Arabidopsis thaliana: one gene and its partners. The protein of the gene in region 1 interacts with the protein of each later gene in a pairwise test. Each region holds a gene or a part of one and is shown in the gene's direction. Other genes may lie near its edges.

Evidence for each region.
Region 2: the proteins of AT2G40316 (region 1) and AT2G29250 interact in a protein complementation assay, tested with the Arabidopsis thaliana proteins (one large-scale study listed by BioGRID).
Region 3: the proteins of AT2G40316 (region 1) and FEI1 interact in a protein complementation assay, tested with the Arabidopsis thaliana proteins (one large-scale study listed by BioGRID).

Annotation. Positions count from the first base shown.
Region 1 is NC_003071.7:16,832,827-16,841,227, forward strand, and holds AT2G40316 (autophagy-like protein), read left to right. Parts: upstream 1-3,277; 5' UTR 3,278-3,528; coding exon 3,529-3,698; intron 3,699-3,908; coding exon 3,909-3,951; coding exon of another isoform or gene 3,952-3,968; intron 3,969-4,291; coding exon 4,292-4,345; intron 4,346-4,457; coding exon 4,458-4,521; intron 4,522-4,659; coding exon 4,660-4,716; intron 4,717-4,867; coding exon 4,868-4,974; intron 4,975-5,076; coding exon 5,077-5,115; intron 5,116-5,298; coding exon 5,299-5,387; intron 5,388-5,477; coding exon 5,478-5,556; intron 5,557-5,644; coding exon 5,645-5,692; intron 5,693-5,781; coding exon 5,782-5,862; 3' UTR 5,863-6,620; downstream 6,621-8,401. Other genes in the region: FER4 (ferritin 4), read right to left, coding at 72-388; AT2G40310 (Pectin lyase-like superfamily protein), read left to right, coding at 1,239-1,382, 1,566-1,877, 2,027-2,551, 2,652-2,885; TBL33 (TRICHOME BIREFRINGENCE-LIKE 33), read left to right, coding at 7,504-7,687, 7,786-8,008, 8,101-8,272, 8,342-8,401.
Region 2 is NC_003071.7:12,577,257-12,583,989, reverse strand, and holds AT2G29250 (Concanavalin A-like lectin protein kinase family protein), read left to right. Parts: upstream 1-3,209; coding exon 3,210-5,081; downstream 5,082-6,733. Other genes in the region: AT2G29260 (NAD(P)-binding Rossmann-fold superfamily protein), read right to left, coding at 36-224, 369-475, 598-814, 930-1,137, 1,220-1,467.
Region 3 is NC_003070.9:11,247,079-11,256,206, forward strand, and holds FEI1 (Leucine-rich repeat protein kinase family protein), read left to right. Parts: upstream 1-2,539; 5' UTR 2,540-3,281; coding exon 3,282-3,381; intron 3,382-3,471; coding exon 3,472-3,607; intron 3,608-3,682; coding exon 3,683-3,754; intron 3,755-3,831; coding exon 3,832-3,903; intron 3,904-4,002; coding exon 4,003-4,074; intron 4,075-4,368; coding exon 4,369-4,440; intron 4,441-4,523; coding exon 4,524-4,595; intron 4,596-4,822; coding exon 4,823-4,911; intron 4,912-5,004; coding exon 5,005-5,163; intron 5,164-5,269; coding exon 5,270-5,602; intron 5,603-5,677; coding exon 5,678-5,926; intron 5,927-6,002; coding exon 6,003-6,136; intron 6,137-6,219; coding exon 6,220-6,438; 3' UTR 6,439-6,837; downstream 6,838-9,128. Other genes in the region: AT1G31410 (putrescine-binding periplasmic protein-like protein), read right to left, coding at 16-459, 576-737, 873-1,055, 1,144-1,278, 1,442-1,690, 1,786-1,925, 2,006-2,267; AT1G31430 (Pentatricopeptide repeat (PPR-like) superfamily protein), read right to left, coding at 6,947-8,659; AT1G31440 (SH3 domain-containing protein), read right to left, coding at 9,072-9,128.

The DNA of each region.
Region 1 (8,401 bases):
CAAATCTTATAGCCAATCAACCAGATTATAATACCGAATCTAAGAGACTGGGGTGAGAAAGAATAACCTACTTGATCTGCTCGTTAATGGCGGCTTCGCACTCGTCTGAGTACTTTTGTCGAGCGAGTGAGAGATGAGAGCTGGTAGGGACGAGATCGAGCTCCTTTTTTACTTCCTTAAACGGCTCGAAGACAACGCCGCTTAGCGCGTCGGTGGTTGAGCTTTTAGATGCGCGAAAAGAGAAAGTTAAGTTTCCAGATTTTCCAGAAGAAACTCGAAGATTCGATGAAATGGAAGGTAACAAAGGAGACACATCCTTCTTCACGCCATGGAAATTCACCAGCGAGAGAGCTGAAGAAGAAGATGAAGAAACAGTCTTGAGAAGCATTTTGACTCGTTTGGATTGAAACAAAGTAGGAAAGTTTTCTTCGCGAGAAAATTGGAGAAGACGAATGGATTTTTCGTGAGGCGAGGGAGATATATGTAAAAGTGAGATTGTGATGTGTTGATGATGAGGCTGCGGATGAGAGACACGTGTACGTACGAGATCGTGGGATGGGTCATGGCGCGTGGCAAGCTTGTGGTTCAACTGCGTTGCTGGAATTTTTTTTCTTTTTCTTTTTGTCGTTGCTGGAATTTTGTTTATCCGTGACTTATTTGTTTTGAAGCTGTATAATTTTGTTTTATGTGATGAAAATTGAAATTGCAGCTTCAAAATCTCTTTCACTAATTACTTAATTAAGTAAATAATCATTTATTTAATAGAAAATCTCTTGTAATTTGTGATTAGTGAATAAAAAAGTTAACAGAACAACTAAAATACTAAAATTAAATATCCCTTAAAATTGGAACAAATAAGAAAGAGTGCATAAGGAAAACAATTTGGTTTTATGCAATTTAAATTAAAACAAACAAAAACAACAAGTAATTGGTAAATATGATTGGCACATTCCTCAAATTGAAGATTCTGTTTTAGAGGAGAGAACAAAAAAAAAACATATACACTCAAAAATCTTCATAACAAGATATTATTAACCAATCAAAATCATTACCACTAAAAAAAAAACACAATTTTAGTTGTTAATTAGTAACCATAATCCAGTTCTTCTACCTGTTCATTGAGAGATGCTAACTCTATATAAGCTGATAATGTAGGCTAACACTTCTCATCATCTCTTAGAACAAGTATTGATAAACAACAATTTTTTTTTTCCATACACCTTAAACTCAATAATAAGATGGCAAGCATTGCTTTTGTGTTTAAGGTTTTATGTGTATCTTTCTTGTTCATATTTGTTGCAAGTCGTCCTACTATCCGACCAAAAACGTTTAACGTCCAACGTCATGGTTCTAAGCCGGACGGAAAAACTGATAATGCCAATGTATGTAAACGAGAATTTTTCTAATTTTTTTTTTACCATTAATTAGTTATGAGATGAAAATCTATGCACATTAGCACAACTATAAACATATATGACAAATATACAAACCAAAAAGATAAATATATATTTTTAATTTATTGTATTTTAACATATATATATCATTCTTAACACATACAAAATCAGGTATTCACAAGTATATGGAGTCGTGCATGCAAAAGAAAAAGTGGAAGTAGTAAAATCTATGTACCAAAAGGAATATTTTACCTCGGTGGTGTAGAGTTTGTGGGTCCATGCAAAAATCCTATTGAATTCGTCATTGATGGAACTTTATTGGCTCCTGCAAATCCTAGTGATATTAAGCAAGATACATGGATCAACTTTAGGTACATCAACAATCTTTCTATCTCCGGTTCCGGTACACTTGACGGCCAAGGAAAACAATCTTGGCCACTCAATGACTGCCACAAAAATCTCAATTGTCCTAAACTAGCTATGGTAACATATCTTAAACTTTTTCACTTATTTACATTTAAAGCGTATTACAAAACGTACATGTGATATTTATACACAACTTTATTAGAATTTTTGGTCTTTTTCATTTGAGAAATTAACAAGTCTTATAATAAACTTGAATTTTTTTATAGACTATGGGATTTGCATTCGTGAACAACTCAAATATCAAAGACATAACATCACTCAACAGCAAAATGGGACATTTCAACTTCTTCTCCGTCCATCACTTTAATATTACCGGCGTCACTATAACAGCTTCCGGTGATAGTCCTAACACCGACGGTATCAAGATGGGTTCATGTAGCAACATGCACATCTCCAACACAAACATCGGTACCGGAGACGATTGTATTGCCATTCTCTCTGGAACCACTAACCTCGATATCTCTAATGTTAAATGTGGTCCCGGACATGGGATCAGTGTTGGAAGTTTAGGGAAGAACAAAGACGAGAAAGACGTGAAAAACTTAACAGTAAGAGACGTCATTTTCAACGGTACAAGTGATGGTATTCGGATCAAGACTTGGGAATCTTCAGCTTCAAAAATCCTCGTTTCGAACTTTGTGTACGAGAATATTCAGATGATTGACGTTGGAAAACCAATCAACATCGATCAGAAGTATTGTCCTCATCCTCCTTGTGAACATGAGCAAAAGGTTAACATTCTATTCAAAAAACAAGCTTCATCATTCTCTTATTTCATCAAAAGAATAAGAACAAAAATATAAAAGACAACTTGTGTTTATTTTTCTTCAGGGAGAGTCTCACGTTCAAATCCAAGATCTTAAGTTAAAAAACATATATGGAACGTCAAAGAACAAAGTGGCAATGAATCTTCAATGTAGCAAAAGCTTTCCGTGCAAGAATATTGAGCTAATTGACATTAACATAAAAAGTAATGGACTTGAAAATAGTTCTTCCATTGCAGTTTGCGAAAATGTTGATGGTTCTATGAGCGGTAAAATGGTTCCTCAACATTGTCTGAATTGATTTGACGAGCCATCAAAATAATAACGATGTGTTGTGTATATGATACTTTCATTTATGAATAAACCAAATTATTTGATGTATAGGATAATGTTTTTTTTTATAACCGAAATTCCAAATTAAAACATAAATATGTATATAAGCTTTCAGATAAAATAAAAAATTAACATCCATAATCTACAAGAAATTGTATTTTCTGAAAATCGAATAGAAACACATGATTAAACAATTGGACGAAAGAATTTCTACATAAATCTCTGAATAAATTCAATAAATCCGGTTCATCTGAAGAAACTAAATTGAACCATACTCTGGTTCGGTTTTTAAATGGGCCGTTTGAGATTTGAGAAGGCCCATAGTTGATAACATTCAGGCTTCAAATTGCAAATGATATACAAAAATAATTTATGCGGCTTATTCGTAAGAATTACTAAGATTAAGGGTACAATTGAAATTTCGATTGAACCAACGGCGGATGTGAAATCAACAACAGCGACGACTGCAGCCGTGCCGAGCACTCATCTCTTCTTCTCTCTCAGTCTCGCTCGCCATCTCCGTGGAGATCCTCGGACATGGTCATGAGATCGTAAGAGAGAATCTTCAAAAAATTGAAATTGGAAATCGATAAGCTAGGAGCTAAGGAGAAATGTCGGGGAAACTTTGGATCCCGAGATTTATTCTCATCACTCTACTGTTTATTAGCTCACGAGTTAACTCTCAATGTGAATTCAGTTTCACTGGACGCAACAAGGTCTTTCATTTCAACCTAGCATCTTCGATTCGGAATTATCCTCACGGTGTGCTCAGCGAAGATGGGTACTTTCGCTTTTCCTTTTGTCCCAGATTCCATTTCTTATATGCTTGAAGTTCGCTTTCAATTTCAAATTCTGTACATCTTATGAAATTATTATGTAGAATGTTGCATTTGGTATTGTGATTTGTACTGGATGGTGTTAAGTTAAAATGTTCGTCTATGTTACTTCATTTGTGTTGTGCTTATACTAAATGCAATAATTGGATAAGCAGGTTTTATAAAGTGGAAGCGAACAGTTCCGTGTTATGGTTTCAGGTTGTCTTCTACATCAGGTTACACTTTGTTTCTGTATTTTTCTCTGTTACACTGATCATAACATCTATGATCCTGTATCTTGGATTTCTCGCGTGCCTGTGTAATTCATCTTGTTGTATGTAATTTCTGATAACTGGTAACAAGGAAAAAGGAATAGATAGGTTAATGGAACAGTAGAGGAAGAACGATACGTTGCTTAGATTAGGAAAGCATTTAGAGTTAAGGTGGTTCTGATTTGAAGATGTATAACTGCTTGGTAGTCATACTGCCGTTTATGTTTTACACTACGCCATTGTGATTTATGTTTGTTATTTTTTTTGTAAACCGTCTTGTGGAACAGCTTTGTGACGTGCTGATTTTCAATCATGATCCCCCTCGATGTGTTGGTTGCGAAGTAAGATATTTGGCTACTTTTCTTGTCTTGATCTATCCTTCTACAGAAAAAGTTTCTATTTTAACTTTGAGAATCTCAATCAGTCTCTGTGACTTTGCTTTTCTTCACTTAGGATTGTGGAGGTCCATCTCACTGCGGAACGTCATGTAGTGCACTTGTGTCAGAAAATGTAAGAGGTATTAAAATCACACTCTGACAGCATGTTATCTTAATGTATATTATGTAGCTCAGTAGAGAATGATAAGGTTGCAGATTGCACAATGCTTTTGTGCTAATGAAGAGTTAAACCATCTTAAAAATCTAATCATTTGCAGGGTATGATGTATGCACTTCTCTAGGGCATGCCTCAAGCACAAAAGTTGATATTATTGGTAAGGTTTAAGATATGTGAAAATTGAGACTATTTTCACCCTGTGTTCTAAGTTGTGAAAAAGCTAAATTGTTAATGCTGTTTTCTCCCAACTTCGTTTGCAATAATAATGTAATAAATGTGCCTCAGGATTTTTGTTTTGAATATGGTAGATAAAGAGGATCCTGGCAAAGGCGTCATTGTTCAGATGTCAACTGGAAATAGGAACCAAAATTGCTCGCTTTCAGTTTCTGTTATTTGCCAGAAAACTAAAGTTGATGTAAGGATTTGTATATCAGACATCCTACTTAAGCGTATGAATTGAAGTTGATTTTAGGAGTTTTTAAGACGTAAAACCTCGTTCACCATTTTCTTTTCTCAGGGACCACTCACTTTGGCGAAATCTGGTACCTGTCAGTATGTGAGTGTTCAGTAACTCATCTATTTGCTCTTTTCCTGTAGCTTTCAAATTACCAAGTGTGATTGTTTCTTTTGTGAATTTTATGGGTTTTAAGTTTGAAAACTGAGTTTTTATTTGCATCTCAATATCTTGATTCTTAAGAAGTATGGACTCTGGGTAGTTATGGTCTTGTTTCACTGACAGGCTACTCAGCTGCGACATCCTGCCGGTTGTGCAGCAGCTATATCCGGCCATAGTAGTGGATGGGGCTGGTTTAGTACCTTACTAATCATGTGAGCAAACCAATCTTTTTAATGTGAGGCCTATTGGAATATGTTTAGATATCGTGGGAATCAAAAATGAAATGTTCTTATCTTTCTCAGTATCTTGTGCCTGTTTGGAGCTTATCTGGTGGGTGGTGCAGTATATCGGTATTTCTCCCTTGGAATTCGTGGCATAGATGTATGTTTCACTACCTTCCTTTATATATGCAAGTTTTTCTCATGTACTGATTCTATCACAATTGAAATGTAAACACCCTGTTTTATAGGTAATCCCGAATATGGATTACTGGGCCACTGTACCTCACAGTATACAGGTATTGTTCTGTGTTTCTATATTCTCTTCTGGTAGATTGGTGTCTAAGAATTAAATTTAATGAGCTTACGTTTCCTCTTCATCTTGCAGAGCTGTTTTGGCTCACTATTTTCAAGATTCGGGGGGTCTATTCGTGGTCAGCAAACCTCATATTCTCAGGTCAACTTCTGAGCAGTCTCAGCATCTTCTCTGATCCATGGTCTGGAGACACATCCCCAAACTTTCCTTGACTGGTTCAACCAATTGCAAACGCCGCTAGATTGTTATACCCTGAGTACTCTTTTGGCCATTATATGACTGCAAGTTATAAGGTGCCTCTCCTTTTCAGCTTGTTATGTCATGGATCCCTGTAGAAACAAAAGAATCTTGTTCATTGGATAGAAACAATGTCAAGCCATTGCAATCTGCAGCCTTTCCCATTTCGTGTGTTTGCTCTTTGGAGATTGTTTCAGTTTCTTGATGCTGATTTTGAGTAATGGTAACCGATGTGTTGATGTTTTAGCACATTTTGCATCCGCTTGGCGTTGGATAAGTGGATATCTCTTTTCTTTCAGTGAGTTTTCTGATAGGCGAGTGATCAATGTTTAGGATAGAGATGTTGCAATTGACCAAAAATCCACGAACCAGATTGTTCTTTTAGTGATCTCGGTTAAATTTGAGCCGATTTAGAAACTGGTCTAGCTGAGCCAAACCGGTCAAACTGGCCGGTCCAGTCGTCATAATATACAGTAGTTGCCAATGAAGCTTCTTGAAAGCATCTCTTTGTACAATTTTGAGTATTGTAGCATCTAAAGAAACATTGGCTTAGTGTTTTGTTTTGTTGGACGAAGAGTGTGTACAAAGAGGAAAAGTGAGAGCCAACAACTTGAGCTTGAAAGCCCAACAATTTCTCAACTAATTCCACTATTCATTTCATCTTGAACTCTCTCCTGATAGTTACTATATAAAAAAAAAAAATTATAGACCGATAATTAAGATTTTGTTTGATCTCACATTGTTCAGTATTAATTTTAATAAATGTCAGTTTTGTTCTATATTGTTTTCTAAGTAACATCAAAAATCCATTGGACAAAGGTAAAGACAACGATGTCTCATCTTTACAAATTGATCAACTGTACGAAAACACCTCAAGGACACTTAGCTTAGAAGCCAAGTGAATTTATATTCCTCACCTCCATCAATCATCATCTCAAAGTTTCCAATAGCCTAAGAAACTAATAATTTTTGTTCCTTTTTGACAGATATTAGAAGAGTATTCATAGTAAAAAGGACAAAGGAAGCCAATGATTTAATCATAACCATCTAGGTTGGATTTAATCAAATACAAAACGGACTAGATGTAGTCCACAGTGAACTCAGTGATTGTTTTTGTCTTAAAATCAAGGTAAATCACATGATTACTTAAAAACAAACAGAGATATACATTTTTGCTGAAAACACGAATGTGTATATAAATGGATTAAATCTTACGAAAAAGCATTAGTTAGTAGACAACCACTCTGTTGCGTCAACATTTACCTACTCATCACTCTTAAGTATACTTCCTTTGCTAATTCACAAAAATTTCATCACCTAATATAATCATAACCATATTATAAATAGTTTAATCATTGTACAATTCACATCTTTAGTATTTCTTGAAGCAATTCCAAAATAAAGTTCTTTTGGCTTCCTCCTCCCACATTCTTATTTGGTTGAGGAGAATGAGATCATCAAGAACACAAAGTGTTCATTTCTTAATTTTATCTCCTCTTTTCCTAATAATATAAAATTTGAAATCACATTTGTAACACTAATTCTCAAATCCTAAACATGAAACCTTCATCACCAATTTCACTCACTAGTTCTTCAATTGCTAGAAAAGCTCGTTTTTCTCCTTACCTCTTCACACTCTTAGCCTTCATTCTTTTCGTCTCTGTCCTCTATGGTGAAGATTTTATGTGCATCTTTGGACAGCTCGAGCCTAACTTCGTCCTCCCGCCTTCTCGAACACCCGGTAATATTTTGTTTATTCACTAAACTTGTGGTTTGAATACGCGTTGACAATGAGGAATTGAGTTTGTGTTTTGGTTTTCAATTTCTTGGATTCTTAAGAAAAGAATAAGAAATCGGAGAAGCTTGCGTTTGCTATTGGTAAAACAGAGGAAAGCTGTGACGTTTTCAGCGGGAAATGGGTGAGAGATGAAGTCTCCCGACCACTGTATGAGGAATGGGAGTGTCCGTACATTCAACCTCAGCTTACATGTCAAGAACACGGCCGTCCCGACAAAGACTACCAGTTTTGGCGGTGGCAGCCTAATCACTGCGATCTTCCCTCGTAAGCTCACTCTAAACGCTCTGTTTTCTCTGTTTCATGGGTTACTCTGTTTTCTCTGTTTCATGTGTTGCTCTGTTTTCTCTGTTTCATAGGTTCAACGCGTCACTGATGCTGGAGACATTAAGAGGGAAGAGGATGATGTATGTAGGAGACTCGTTAAACCGTGGAATGTTTGTATCAATGATTTGTCTTCTTCATCGTCTTATTCCTGAAGATCAGAAATCAATTAAAACCAATGGTTCCCTCACTGTCTTCACTGCCAAGGTAAACCTATCTACTTAAACTTATTCAAAATTCTCACCTTTTATTAGAGCTTATTATATCTTTGTGCAGGAGTATAACGCGACGATAGAGTTCTATTGGGCACCGTTTCTTCTAGAATCGAATTCAGAC
Region 2 (6,733 bases), 4.3 Mb from region 1:
GGATCCCAAGGAAACTAGTAAAACAATAGAGTGGCCTAATCATGTCGTGGGAAGAAACCGTTTATTGACATTCCACCATCAACACAAAGAATCTGCCCTGTAATATATGATGATGCAGGTAGGCATAAAAAAGCCACTGCAGAAGACACCTCTCTCGGTTCGCCAAGTCGACCAAGAGGAGTTACTGAGTAGACTTCTTCTAGGTACTCTTTGTTGCTAAGGACCTGAGACCAAAAGACGAGAACCATTAAACAACCCCATCTTAAACAAGGAACACACAAATTAGCTTAGTCTTTCTCATTTTGATTTTCAGCCTCAAGAGCTTATATTTAACCGCATAATAGATAATAAGGCTTTTAAACCCATACTTGCTCCACCATAGATGTTTTGATATACCACGGGGCAACAGCATTGATCCTTATATTGTCTTTGGCCCACTCGCAAGCCAGACTTCTCGTAAGTTGATTAATTGCTCCTAAAACACAAAGGCCAACGAAAAGAACCAAAGTTTATCCATCGCCTGCTCGTTAAAGAATCTAATACATCTTGGTAAAACCTGAATAAATGAATGAATGCTGCATAAGAACAAATACCTACCTTTGGTTGAAGATTGGACCGACATATTCTTGAGGGAAACAAAACCAGAAACAGAAGAGATGAACACAACACTTCCAGCTTTAGATTCTCTAAGCAATGGATAAGCAAGTTGACATAAATGGAAAACCGATTCGAAATTCGTAGACATCAGAGTCGAAAATTCTCCAGCAGTAAACTCTACCATTGGTTTCCTAATGTTCGTCCCAACATTGTTTACCTAAAAGCATCATAATTACACAAGAAAGTAAAGTTATTTATTTACAATTGTTCTCACAGACAAATTAACAAACACTTTATGTGCATTATCTCTAAGCAATGGCATTAAACCTTACAAGGATATGAAGCTTCCCTTCAAACACAGATGACACGGTCTCCATCAAAGCCTCTCTCTGAGATCGATCAGAGACATCGCAAACGGATCCAGCAACTCGAAAACCAGAACGGTTCCAATCACTCAAACAATTCTCCAGCTCGTACTCATTCCGAGCGCAAGTGTGAACTTCTGCTCCAAGACCAGCCAATTCCTCCACAATCGCACGCCTGAGAATTTAAACAGTAACACACACTACTCTGAGAATTTGCGTTTGATAAAGGTTCACACTTGTTGTGAAGAGAGACAAACCCAATTCCACGAGTGCCGCCGGTGACAAGAGCAGACATTCCATTGAGAGACCATCTTTCCTTGGAGGTAATGGCAATGGAACTCTGTGATGCGTAAGGGACGAAGACGGAAGAGGAAGAGGATTTGTGTTTAGGGTTTATGCGTTTGAAAGAGAGGCATAAATGAGGTTTAAGGGAAGAAGAAGAAGAAATAAAGTGAAGGTTTTGAGGTGGATTTGTGTACAAGTGAGAAGCCATGTCAAGCACCATTTATGCAGAGCAGAGTTTATGTTTCAGCTTTTCAAATGAGTCAGAGTCACCTTTATGCGAAGCATGGTTCTGATTGGTTTAGTGACGATGACGACGTCATCATTGCGGCAAATTTTAAATTACTGTATATATATCTTATAAACTTTATAAAATATCCATAAATTATTAGACACATTTATAAACTGTAACAAAAAAAAAATCATAATCAATTTCTTTATTTAAAAAATAAAATAAAGCATTTCAATATTTTAGTAGGGAAGATATTAGTTAATATCATTAGAAAAAATAGAAAAAAAAAGGAGAAAATGCAACAAGAAGAAGAGAAAAAAAAAAAACTCTAATTCATTAATTTTTGCGGATTAACTGGATCGTTGCAGTTTTTTGCTTTATTTCGATAAATGAACAACAAAAACAAAAGTCCATAAAAAACTTAGTAGATGCATAAACTAACCATAGAGAAGTCGATAAATGTGATGCTCTATTAATACATGCGAGTACGGAGTATCTATTGAAGAGGTACAATACTACAATTAAATCACAAAGTTTACCTTAGACCAAAAAGAAAAAAACATATAGATTAGTAATATATAGATTGTTAATATAATATTGTATGTTGGTGACAAAATAAATTGCCTAAGTTTTGGTTAGAAAATAGAAATACTTTAACCAATATAAGCAGATTACCTAAGATCATTTTTGTAAAATGGAAACTAATTATTTTATGTTTTGAGAATTCTTCGTTCGTAAACAATCTTTGTACTCTTCTCAGAAAGTTGATATATTTTTAAAAATTCTTTGACTCTAATCTAATGATGTTAATTTGTACATTGTATTGTTGTGATTTCTTCGTTTATAGAATATATGGAACTCTATCTGACTACATCTACATATACAATTTTGCATGAAAACTTCTCTAGATTTTGTAATTATTTATTTTTGTACAAGTTTTCAGTGAGAACAAGACTAAGATTTGAATGGTCAAGTATTCTTCTTCTTCGTTTACAAATTGAATTTCTTAGTTTGACAACGTATGTCTTTATAATAATAATAAAAAAAAGTTAGGATATTTTTTTATTATAAATATTCATATTTAAAGTTAACACTTTAATTTCAAGGAATGTTCAATTGTTCATCCATTTTTTATTTTTATATTGGATATATAGTGGCTAAAAGCCTAACATAGCAACGCCTTTTATGCGACATATAGTTGATAATTATTGCAAGTTTCCTCCACAATTTCTTCCTAATACAAATAATTGCACAATTACAAGACTCAAGAGAAACCTTTCTATTTGTTTGTATCACATAGTCATAGTGGATAAACGTCGATCGTTAGGCAGTCAAAATTATATGTGTAACAAAAAAAAAGGTGATTCACCCTAAAGGCTAGCTAAAAGATGACGTTTTTTTTGTTCAATAATTTTTGATCCATTATGACTTTGTAATCACATTTAAATTATACAGAAAATATGTAACCATTTTCTTGTTTATTTTGCAATCAATTTTATTAGGAAGAAATTGTGGAGGAAAGTTCGAAAGAATTTTTCAAGGATACTAATATAAAGGTTTGCAAAAAAAAAAAGGGTTTGTTTAGCAGTTTATATAGAAAGTCAAATCTTCAACTAAGTTTGTTTAACTTGTCAGCATAAACAAAAAATTTGAATATGAATGTGTCTTGAGCTCTTTGAAGCTATAAAAAGATAGCATTGAACATAGCTAACATCAAAATCTGAAAACTATCAATGGCTAATACCTATAAATCGATAGCTGTATCAATAATCTTCCTACTATACTTTTCTTGTGTCTCAAGTCAACAACAAACCAAATTTCTTAACCATGGCTTTCTGGAAGCTAATCTCCTCAAGTCTGGCTCGTCCAAGATCCACCCGAGTGGCCACTTGGAGTTGACAAACACTTCGATGAGGCAAATAGGTCAAGCTTTTCATGGCTTTCCCATACCATTCTTAAACCCCAACTCCTCAAATTTGGTATCTTTCCCCACAAGCTTCGTCTTTGCCATCACTCCAGGACCTGGCGCACCAGGCCACGGCTTAGCTTTTGTCATTTCACCCTCGCTGGACTTTAGCGGGGCCTTACCAAGCAATTATCTAGGCCTATTCAATACCTCCAACAATGGAAACTCCTTGAATTGCATTCTTGCAGTTGAATTCGACACTGTGCAGGCCGTTGAGTTGAACGATATTGATGATAACCATGTTGGTATAGACCTCAACGGAGTGATCTCCATTGAGTCTACCTCCGCTGAATATTTTGATGACCGAGAGGCAAAGAACATAAGTTTGAGGCTGGCGAGTGGGAAACCAATAAGAGTCTGGATCGAATACAACGCAACTGAGACGATGCTCAATGTCACATTGGCTCCTCTAGATCGTCCGAAGCCAAAGTTGCCTCTTCTCTCTAGAAAACTAAATCTTTCTGGGATCATCTCTGAAGAAAATTATGTTGGATTCTCTGCAGCCACGGGAACTGTCACGAGCTCACATTTTGTGCTAGGCTGGAGCTTCAGCATCGAGGGGAAAGCATCAGACTTTGATATCACGAAGCTTCCCTCTCTTCCAGACCCGCTACCTCCATTGTCTCCATCCCCGAGTCCTCCGGTTTCAGTCATGAAAAATTCGAGTAACACGATGCTGATCATAATCATTGCTGCATCAGCAATATTTGGAATCTTGATCTTAAGCTTCTTAGCGGTTTGCTTTTTTCGTAGAACGGAAAACTTCACCGGAGGCGCACGGAAATTCTCCCACCAGACGATTTCCAGCGCGACGGGAGGTTTTGACAACTCTAAGCTTTTGGGAGAGGGAAACTCTGGGAGTTTTTATAAAGGGCAACTTGCTCCTACAGAGATAATTGCCGTAAAGAGAATTACTTGCAACACAAGGCAAGAAAAGACAGCCCTAATAGCCGAGATCGATGCAATCTCCAAGGTAAAACAAAGAAATCTTGTTGATCTACATGGTTACTGCAGCAAAGGAAACGAGATCTATCTTGTTTACGAGTATGTTATCAATAGAAGCCTAGACCGGTTCTTGTTCAGCAACGACCTACCAGTTCTCAAATGGGTACACCGGTTTTGTATTATAAAGGGTATTGCGTCAGCACTTCAACATCTTCACGCTGAGGTTCAAAAACCTCTCATACACGGAAATGTCAAAGCAAGTAACGTTCTTTTGGACGGAGAGCTAAACGCTCGACTAGGAGACTATGGACATGGAAGCAGACACAGCACTACGGGACACGTTGCACCAGAACTAGTCAACACGGGAAAGGCTACATGTGCCACAGATGTGTTTGAATTTGGAGTGTTAATCATGGAGATTGTTTGTGGAAGGAGAGCCATAGAGCCGACAAAGGAACCGGTAGAGATCAGTTTAGTGAACTGGGTGCTTCGAGGGGTCAAGAGCGGAAATCTCTTAAGGAGATGCGACAAAAGAATCAAGAAAAAGAATTTAGTCTCTGAAGAAGTGTTATTGGTTCTGAAAACAGGACTTCTCTGCGTGAGACGATCTCCAGAAGATAGGCCAATGATGAAGAAAGTGTTGGAGTATCTCAACGGTACAGAACATCTCCCTCATGATGACTACGTCGTCTAAAAGAGGAAATGGCTAACGATGATCTCGAAACGCCGTTGTACAAATCAAGATTGGACCCAAGATGCATAAGCATGATATGAATAATACATAGAATAACTTTTAAAAATGGAAATAAGAATTTCTCGTTTTGAGAAATTAATTTCATTAAATATTATCTTCGATTAAACAATCTTCGTACTCTTCCGAGAAAATGAATATTTTAAAATATTTGTGTTTGATTTTAAATTCTAAATGATGTTTGTTCGTCGTTTTAGGATAACTAGTATGTATTGTTAAAGAAAAGATAAGCAAATAAATAGTATTGTTGGCAGACTTTTCTAGCCCTTTCATTGTAATTTCAATTATCTTTGTTCACCAGTAGATTTTTATAGTAGCAACAAAATCTAGATTTCTATGGAATTTGGGTTCAGTATAGATTTTTTTTTTTTTTTGTTAAAGGGATTAGTTTAGATTTTGGATTGGATTCACCTGGTTAATTTAAAAGAAGGGTATATGCACTAGATGACCATGAAATCAATAATAATATAGAAACTAACTATGAGTCTATAGTGTCTGTCGGAGACGTATCTGAAATTACCCGCAACCCCCTATAACTGTGTTCTTGGTTAGGGGACATATAGGTGTATAGGCGTATGATTGCAGAAATTTGAATTTTGAAAACCTTGGTAAGAGCAATGCTGTATGTGGACGCAAACGATATAGATTTTAATTTCGAGAAATCGATTTATTATCGAATTTTTTGAAATATCAGGAGCTCCAAAAAAAAACCTAGCGCCGCTTCATTTGCTGGTTTTCCGAGAGGAAACGTCTTCCGTTCTCTACCCATAGATTCTGCAAACTCTCCGAATATCTATTTCAAATCTATATTGTTTCTCATACATATCGTTTCTTTAGATTCAATCTCGCAGTTAGGCAATCAATTCCATCGGGCTACAGGTAATTTCACAAATATATGCGGTTTAAGCTATTCAACGTTCTCGATCGCCATCAACTTCTTTATTTCTCCAATCTATATTCCGATTAACTGAAATCTTAGGTACATACTGTTTCTGATTTATAAACTTCTATTTTGTGCAGAAAAGGGTTCGACTTGTAGATGATGAACAACTCTTTACCCCGTCGATTGTTTAGGTCTGGATCCGAGCCCAACGGTGAGAGAGTGCAGTCCTACAGTGAACTGTCTTTGATAGATGACATCGCTAACGCGTTAGATGCGGAGGACATGAAAATTCTCCGGGAATCTCAGTTTGGGAAATTATTTGATTTCTCCGAAAGCGCCGCGTATTCTGGGAAGCTTATTCACTTTTTGCTAACGAGGCAGCTTGTTGTTAGGAAGAAACAAGAAATTTGGGTAATTTTCTCTGGATCCCCTGTTCGGTTTTCCATTTCTGAGTTTCAAAATGTTACCGGTTTGAACTGCGACAAACCGCCTCGTATGAAAGAGAGGAAAGGGAAACGAAAATTGGCGCCTGGCAAGTATTGGTACAGCCTATTTGACCGCAGTGATGTATCTGTTGAGTGGGTTGTTGGCAGGCTGAAGAAGCGAGTGGTTCAAGATCAAGGAATTCGTTTACGTTACGCTGTGCTGGCCTTGATTGATGGCGTTTTATGCCCAACCTCGGGTAGAAGTAAAATCTCTCCGGTCCATGCGG
Region 3 (9,128 bases), on another chromosome or scaffold:
ACTTTTGTCCGTCTCTCAAATGTTCTTATTCATCTCGGAGTCAAGCTTTGCCCTAAATCCTCGAACCTTAATTGAAACAATGTCCTTTAGTTTCTCCACAAGGCCAGGTCTTTGGCTTTGCTTCCTTACAGTTTCAATCAGAAGCCGATATTCCGATAGCGTAGCCTCTGGTAAAGGTTCCAAGAACTCACACTTAGACAAGATCTCCGGAGGAGGAACACCTGTGACCAGGTTTGTGTCCAGTTTTGTTCTGTCTTTCTTTGTTTTTTCGGGTTCTGTAACCAGAGGACCATCAAGAGCTGAAGGAGATGCACCAGGAATTACTTCCCGTGTGAATGGTAACGATCTTGCAGGTTGCAAGCAGAATTCTATCCACTGGTTGATTAATGGAGATGGGCCTCGGACTCGTCCTCCTCTTTGTTCTGCTTCTTTACCAGAGTCAGAAACAGCCGGGATCGCCTTGAAAAACAATTATGCTTCACGGTTTAGTGTCCAGATATGTTATATCGTCTTTAGAACAAGAAGCATTCAAGATATCAGATGAAGGGTTAAGTGATTTTACGACGGTAACTTACCCATAGATCAGCCCATAAGGTGGCACCGGATTTGGGAACAATCACTGTAACATTAGACATACGTTTTGCGACAGGGATAACATCGCTGCTCCAACCAACAGTGACCCAGACATCTCCGACATTGAAAGCTTTTAAATAGTTGTTACTATCAAATAGTCTAATCTATAAGCAAAAGGGGAAACAAGATCAGCCACCATTGTCATTTTTTCTCAATAACTATAGAGGTTGAGTGAAACACGTCAGCCTAAACTCATCTGTTCTCTTTAGGGTATGGAGAGATAGTAAAGAGGTAATAACCTGTTTCATGAGTGATGCCAGATTTTTCTCCACTGCTAATCTTCCGCCAGGAACTTGTGAATCCAGGTCTGTCGTATTGTATGATGCTCTCATGTATTTGAGAACAGCACCAACAACCTCTCTAGGAGAATTCACCATTGCGATCCTTCCTGCAAGCTCGGGTCGCCACAGATCAGCCCAGTCCTAAATTCAGCAAAATGTTCAGTGATATTCACTTCTTTTAAATAGGAAAACACTAAGACAGCATTTAGCAACAACAAAGTATACCAACCTCTATCGGTGCCAATTTATAATTCTGAAATTTGCTCTTTTTGTATGCTATAACCATGGTGCCCCAGCGGTATGGCACAGCCCACGTTTCACCGTCAGGAGCTTTTTCTCCCGCATAGTTCCTGCGGAGATAAATCTGAGACTTTCTAAGTCATGAAATGAACCCTATGAACATTCCCAAGCTAGCAGAGTACGAAAACAAAACACATGAAAGATTATGCCTATTAAAATCTCTCAAGCTAGTGTTCTTTCAAAAAGACTCATATTCATATTGTTAAACCACTGATTTAAATTCTCACCTTCCATTTATCACTCAAGCCTTTATACCAGTCTTGATCTTCTATCCCTTTCATTGGCTCAATTAGCTTTTCCTTAATAGCAAAACTAAGCCAAGAATCACCAATGCTGATCATATCAGCTGCTGCAGTTGAAGCAGCCCCCTTTTTTCCATTCTTACTTGGTTTCGATAGATCGAAAAAGATCTCTTCAAGATTTCCTCGAAACTGAGTCTTTAACCTCACTCTCTTCCCTTGTGAGCTCATAAACTCCTAAATTCCATTCACAGAATCCAACAACATACATTTTCAACTATAAGCTTAAGATTCAAAATAGAAATGGAAACACAGACAAGTGAAACTAAAACCTTGATCCATGATGGTGGCACTGAGCCACGCAAGGCAACGAGTTTTAGCGGGACAGTAAGAGAATACACTTTAGACTTGTACGCTTCGAAATCAGCTTCCAGTTTTTCTTCATCTTCAACTTCATTTAGATTCTCTTCACCTGCAAAAACATTCCATTGGAACACAAAATTCAAATCCATCGAAATCCCAAGAGTGACGAAAATGTTCAATTTCACGCACCAGCTACAGTTTCTGTGTTGATTTCATTCTCTGTAACGACAATCGGCGGTGGTAGTATTCGAGCGGAGGCCGGAGAACAGACGCGGAGGCTACTTAAACCGATGAACAACACGGTCGAGGCAGAGAGACCAACGATCCTCTCATGAAACCGTTCGTCTCGAGAAACTCGTGCAATGGTGATTCCCCTTCCTCCGTCGCGTCGGTTTCCTCCGCAGTAGAAGCTCGCCGGCGGTTTCACGGAAATAATCGCCGCCGTAGCCATCGATATAACGCGATGGTGAAACAACGGACAACAATGGCTTCTAATCTCAAACCGGTTCAATCAAACCGCTGGGCTTATACCGTAATGGGCCTTAAAAATGGGCCCAATGATTTCGACCATTGTAGAGATTAGGCTTAGCTAAGGTCTAGCTGGCAATAATAATTGGGTTTTATGAAGAAAGCGTCGGTTGACACGTGTGGGAGGTCAAGATCGGCACGTGCGAGACCCACTTCGTTTCTTCTCATTGGTCGTATGCTTTGGAGAAGAAAGCATCTTCTTCTTCTTCACACACTCTCTCTCTCTCACTCTAGTTTTCTCTCTCTTCACTCTTACCATAAATCACACAAACAAAATAAAAAGTCGATTCCTTTTTTGTTTTTTTTATCTTCTCCTTAAGTTATATTTTTTTTTTTTTGCTTTACAGCTCAAATTAGTCATCTTCTTCTTCCTCTGTCTCAATTCTTCCTCCTCTCGGATCCATTTTTAGAGGTTCTTATAATTCTTACTAATTCTGTTTGCTTTTAAAGCTATAACCTTTGATATTGTTGGAAAGAGTGGGGTTTTGGGTCTTTTGCTGAATCGTTTTTTGGATTTGTTATATTGTTCGAATCTTCAGTTGTTATTGTGTTATAGGATTGGATGGTATCTGGGAATTTCGTAATCTATGTTAAGCTAGAGCTGTTTTTGAGCTCTTTTGTTGATGATGATTTTGAGATTGTTGGCCGAATTTAGCTCTCGTTTTCTGATTTTAGCAATTGGAAAGTGTGTATTGGTTCTTGTGAGGCAATTTCACTGTTTTGAGTACTCAAAATGTAGATGAGAGCATGCATAAGTTGTGTGGAGACTGAGCTTAATGTGTAGTGTAATTGACAATTAGTTTTGTGGGCTTTCCTTTGTTTTTCAGGAGTCTAGTTTCTTACTTGAACATAGACATGGAATCAACTAATAACTGACAACCAAGAGGCTGTTCTTTTCAAATGATTGGTAGTAGTTATATTATGCTTGGACAGTGCCATGATGGGCATCTGTGAGATGAAAAGCTGCTGCTCATGGCTTCTTTTGATCTCGTTGCTTTGCTCACTATCTAATGAAAGTCAAGCGATTAGTCCTGACGGTACGTCGATATGAATCAACTATTACTATTCATAGCGTCCTGGACCTTTTATTGAGCTTTAATCCTTTATTGCTTGTTTCCATTCTTCAGGCGAGGCGCTTCTGAGCTTCAGAAATGCAGTTACTAGATCAGATAGTTTCATCCATCAGTGGAGACCGGAAGATCCAGATCCATGTAACTGGAACGGAGTGACATGTGATGCAAAAACGAAAAGAGTTATAACCTTGTAAGTTTTCAAACTTGTCAAGGTTTACTGGTTTTCTCTTCAGTATTTGTGCTCCCTAATACTCTTGTTTCGCAGGAATCTTACTTATCACAAAATAATGGGACCTTTACCTCCTGATATTGGAAAGTTGGACCATTTAAGGCTTTTGTATGTGCTCTCTAGCCTTATTCATTTTTATTGCTTAAGAGAGTACTTCGATTCTGATCATCTGTGTGTCATTGCAGAATGCTTCACAACAATGCTTTATATGGAGCAATACCTACAGCATTGGGAAATTGCACAGCATTGGAGGAAATGTAAGCGCTTTTCCAGGATTTTATACTGATTCCACATGGTTTCTGAGAGACCAATTCCAGTTGCTTATGGTCATCAAAATTGTCCAACTGGTTTTGCAGTCACTTGCAGAGTAACTACTTCACTGGACCAATCCCAGCTGAAATGGGAGACCTGCCTGGCCTTCAAAAGCTGTATGTTTTTTTCTCTTCCCTATACGTACTTGCAAGTGCATCCTTCTTTTAGTGTATGCAATATCTATTTGTTTTTTGTTTTCATTTACTTCTATCACCATCTAGGATCATGGTAACATATGGTTGACTGCATAATGTCTTCTCATGCACATTATATTCAGAACTAGTTATACCTAAACTCTTGGTGAGCAATTTGAAAAGCATGATAATGTATTGTTTACTTCAGATTCACATATTGATTGTTCTCTTTTCTCTACTAAAACTGACTTTTGACTTTTTTATTTTATTTTCAAGGGACATGTCAAGCAACACTCTCAGTGGACCTATCCCTGCTTCGCTTGGGCAGTTAAAAAAGCTTAGTAACTTGTGAGCACCTTAATCTCTAACTTCCGCTGTAATTTATCATATTGCAGTCCTGTGAATCTTTCTGTTTCGTTTGTCTTATGAAGCAATGTCTCGAACAACTTCCTGGTGGGGCAAATACCTTCAGACGGAGTGCTCTCTGGATTTTCTAAGAACTCGTAAGACAATAAACACCCTTTTCTTCTTGTAGGGATAGAAAAATAAAGCCTCTAAAGTTACATTTTTTTTTTTTTTTTGTCAATCCTCTAAAGTTACATTTATACAGCTGATCTTTCATATTTCGCTTATATTCGAGATGATTTTTTGAACCACATAACTATTTAGCTAGATTGTATCAGTGCGACTGAAATTATATGATTCTCAAACTGATGCGTTACTACTACAGCTTCATTGGAAATCTTAACTTGTGTGGAAAGCATGTTGATGTCGTGTGCCAAGATGATAGTGGAAACCCTTCATCACATTCTCAATCAGGTAAAAGCAATTATGAATTTCTTGTGATATACAGGTTTTGTTGTGGCTCTCTATCAGTAAAGTTATATTTATTTGGTGTCTTATACTTTATAGGTCAAAATCAAAAGAAAAACTCTGGTAAGCTGCTGATTAGCGCATCAGCAACTGTAGGTGCGCTACTCCTAGTTGCACTCATGTGTTTCTGGGGATGCTTTCTATATAAAAAGCTCGGTAAAGTCGAGATTAAAAGCCTTGCAAAGGATGTTGGTGGAGGTGAGCCGTATTGATTTTTTTTGTACAGATATTATCTCGTTAAATATTGGGAAATTTCATATTTTTCTCTATCTCCTAAATCTTCATTGTGACTTTTTCAATTCAGGTGCGTCTATTGTGATGTTCCACGGAGATTTACCTTACTCTTCCAAAGATATCATTAAGAAGCTGGAAATGTTGAATGAAGAGCACATAATTGGATGTGGAGGCTTTGGAACGGTGTATAAGCTGGCCATGGATGATGGCAAAGTCTTTGCATTGAAGAGAATTCTAAAGTTAAACGAAGGGTTTGATCGGTTTTTTGAGCGGGAGCTTGAGATTCTTGGGAGCATCAAACACCGATACCTCGTGAATCTACGTGGATATTGCAATTCACCAACATCAAAGCTACTGTTATATGATTACTTGCCCGGTGGTAGCCTTGATGAAGCACTTCATGGTATGATCAATCTGCTCTTTATGGCTCTCTTCCATATTATGAATGATTCACTGAGAAGTTTGGTTCTTGAATTAGTAGAGAGAGGCGAGCAATTGGACTGGGATTCACGCGTAAATATCATCATAGGAGCTGCGAAAGGGTTATCATATTTGCATCATGATTGTTCTCCTCGGATTATACATCGTGATATAAAGTCGAGCAACATTTTGCTTGATGGCAATCTCGAGGCACGGGTATCGGATTTTGGTCTAGCCAAGTTGTTGGAAGACGAAGAATCTCATATCACAACCATTGTTGCAGGCACATTTGGGTACCTAGCTCCAGGTACATATGCCTTTTAAAAGTCTTTACTTACATAAAGATTTGATCTTTCAAATGCTGAGACTTTTCCATTTGACAGAATATATGCAAAGTGGTAGAGCAACTGAGAAAACCGATGTATACAGTTTTGGGGTTTTGGTTCTTGAAGTCTTGAGTGGGAAAAGACCAACCGATGCTTCCTTCATCGAGAAAGGCCTTAACGTTGTTGGTTGGGTATGCAAATAAGATTCTTTTTCAATACTGATATTTTGTTACGACAAACTTGACTAAAAAAGCTTTTGACTCATGATTTACAGCTAAAGTTCTTAATCAGCGAAAAACGGCCAAGGGATATTGTTGATCCAAACTGTGAAGGAATGCAGATGGAGAGCCTTGACGCTCTACTATCAATAGCAACACAGTGTGTGTCTCCGAGTCCAGAAGAGCGTCCAACGATGCATCGGGTTGTCCAGTTACTTGAATCAGAGGTCATGACTCCTTGTCCCAGCGAATTTTATGATTCCAGCTCTGATTAATTGCATAAACCCACCAGTCGAAACCTCGAGAAAAAAAGTAAACCGAGTCCGGTTTCCCGGGGAAAGCCTTCAAATGCTATTCGATTTCCGTTTTTGCTCCCCGAGAAAACCTGCAAATACCAACGAAGAGCCATAATTTTCCAGTTAATGGAACAGAGTCTTTGTGTTGTGTTGCCATTTACTTTGCCCCTCCAGTTTTACCAGATTCGAGCCATTCATTTTCAGCCCTTTCTCTTTTTGTTCTGATTTTTGGTATAAAAACTTTTATTTGAACATGAAATTGAATTGTATAGTTGTGACCTTTGTAGAAAAACTACTCTCTGCCTTTATGTTCTTTTGAAATAATCCATGTTCCTTCATCTTCTTCTTCTTCAGTCTCAATCAATCCTGATTCAGTTACAGAGAAGCTGATATCGATTCAAAACCAACATCGATTCAAAACCGGTTCATTAGCAGGGAAACAAATGTTAATGATAAGGGAAGTAGTTAGAGAATGTACAAGAAAGTTTCAGCTATCAATTTCTTTATGTTCCAAATCCAACATCAAATTTGTCGTTTGATGCAGCATTGAGTTGATCTCATCCATTTTTGGGTGTGATAATAGATCATCTCCAACAATAAACTCATGACCAACCCCATCAATCTCGATGGAGCTGCAACCAGGAAACTTTCTGATTCCCAAATCTTTCATTTTCCTTCTCACATTAGTTACATCTTCCCATCTATTAGCAGATGCATATACACTTGCAAGCAGAGTATGAGCACTGGAATCACTTACTTCCACTTTCTCAAGCTTTTCCGCTACCCGTTCTGCTATTTTTACATTCCCATAGTTCCTAGCAGCACTAAGTAAAGAACAGTATACAGGAACTAGAGTTTCATCGCTTTCACCACGCATCTTATCTATCAATTCCTCTGCTTCATCTAACAAACCAGCTCTGCATAGTAGGTCAATCAGACAGCTGCAGTGCTCTGATTTAGGCTGGACGTTATGTCTTTCGGTCATCGAATGGAAAATCTTACGGCCTTCTGCTACAAATCCACCATGATTGCAAGCTGTTAAAACCGCGACAAATGTTATAGCGTCTAGTCTAACACCAACATTTTCCATTTCGTAATACAAGTCCAGCGCTCTTCCTGACATCCCGTTCATCGCAAGACCGTAGATAAGTGATGTCCACGAAGCTGTGTCTCTCTCCTTTATTTCATAGAAAACCTCTAGAGCTGTCTCAATGCATCCACATTTTGCATACATGTCTACAAGAGCAGTACCAACTACTTTATCTACTGTAACCCTGTTCTCATTTATGTACCCATGAATCCATTTTCCTTGCTCTAAAGCTCCCGTTTGCGCGCAACCTGTCAAGAGAGAGACTAGCACGAAATTATCCGGCCTAATTCCCGCAGTTTGCATGCACCTGAACAGTTCCAATGCCTCATCAAACCGGTTAAACTGAACATACCCATTCATCATAGCTGTCCACAAAACAACATCCTTTACAGGACTTCTCTCAAACAAAACTCTAGCCTCATCAATCCTACCAGTACTAACATACCCAAAAACCATACTAGTCCAACACTTAACATTCTTGTCTCTCATCGAATCGAAAACCGCTCTAGCCTTATCGAGACACCCACATTTACAGAACATATCCACCAACGCATTCCCAATCCTAACACTCATTTCAAATTCTGTAACAACAAACCTATAAATCCTTTCACCAATTTCAAGATTCTTCAAAGCCGAACAAGCCGAAAGAGTGCTCACAATTGTACCTTCATCAAACTTCAAATTGCTCTCCTGACTCATCCGCTTAAACACACCAATGGCATCCTCAAACCTCCCATTACCAACATAACTAGAAATCAACCCATTCCAAGAAACAACATCTCGTTGAGGCATTTCATCGAACACTTTATGTGTGATCTCTATCTTACCCAATGAAGCATACATTCCCATGAGTGAATTAGATACATAAGAATCGAACTCAAGCCCAGCTTTCACAGCATAACCATGAACCTTCTCACCTTCTATAACCTTCCTCAAACGACCAATTGACTTTAGAACAACCGGTAACGTGAAATTATCAGGATACAATCCTTGTCCTCGCAATTCACCGAACAAAGCCAAAACTTTCGTGAAACTTTTACCATCAGCAAGAGATTTGAGCATCTTATTGTACATAAGAAGTGATGGAGTTTGTAACAAACTCATGTTCATGTCTCTTTAGGGGATGATATGAGATAATGAGAATGTAAAGTTGTGAACTTTGTAGAGAAAGAGAGTCTTATTATTCAAAGTTCCATCCTTTATTTTTTAAAAATCAAATTTTACTGAAAAAGAAAAGATCATTATCATTATCAGAGTAAATTACAGAAGAAACAGAGGATTGTATCTAACAAAAGATAAAACAGGATTCTCACAACTGCGTAAAGAAATGATTCAAGAGTCTAGAGTTAGACTCATGTTGATACATAAGAAAAAAGGAAGAAAACACACAAATCATTACTCTTACAAGATCATATTTACTCGTCGAAAACATATCTTTACTTACGATGATAGGTAAGAAGGAAGAGAAACACAATCATATCTTACACATACTTTTTGGTATGTATATGTTAAAGAAAGGGCATCACTGTTGCTTGGAGTTTGATTCCACGATCTTGCTTGCCGGAGCTTTCTCTTGTTT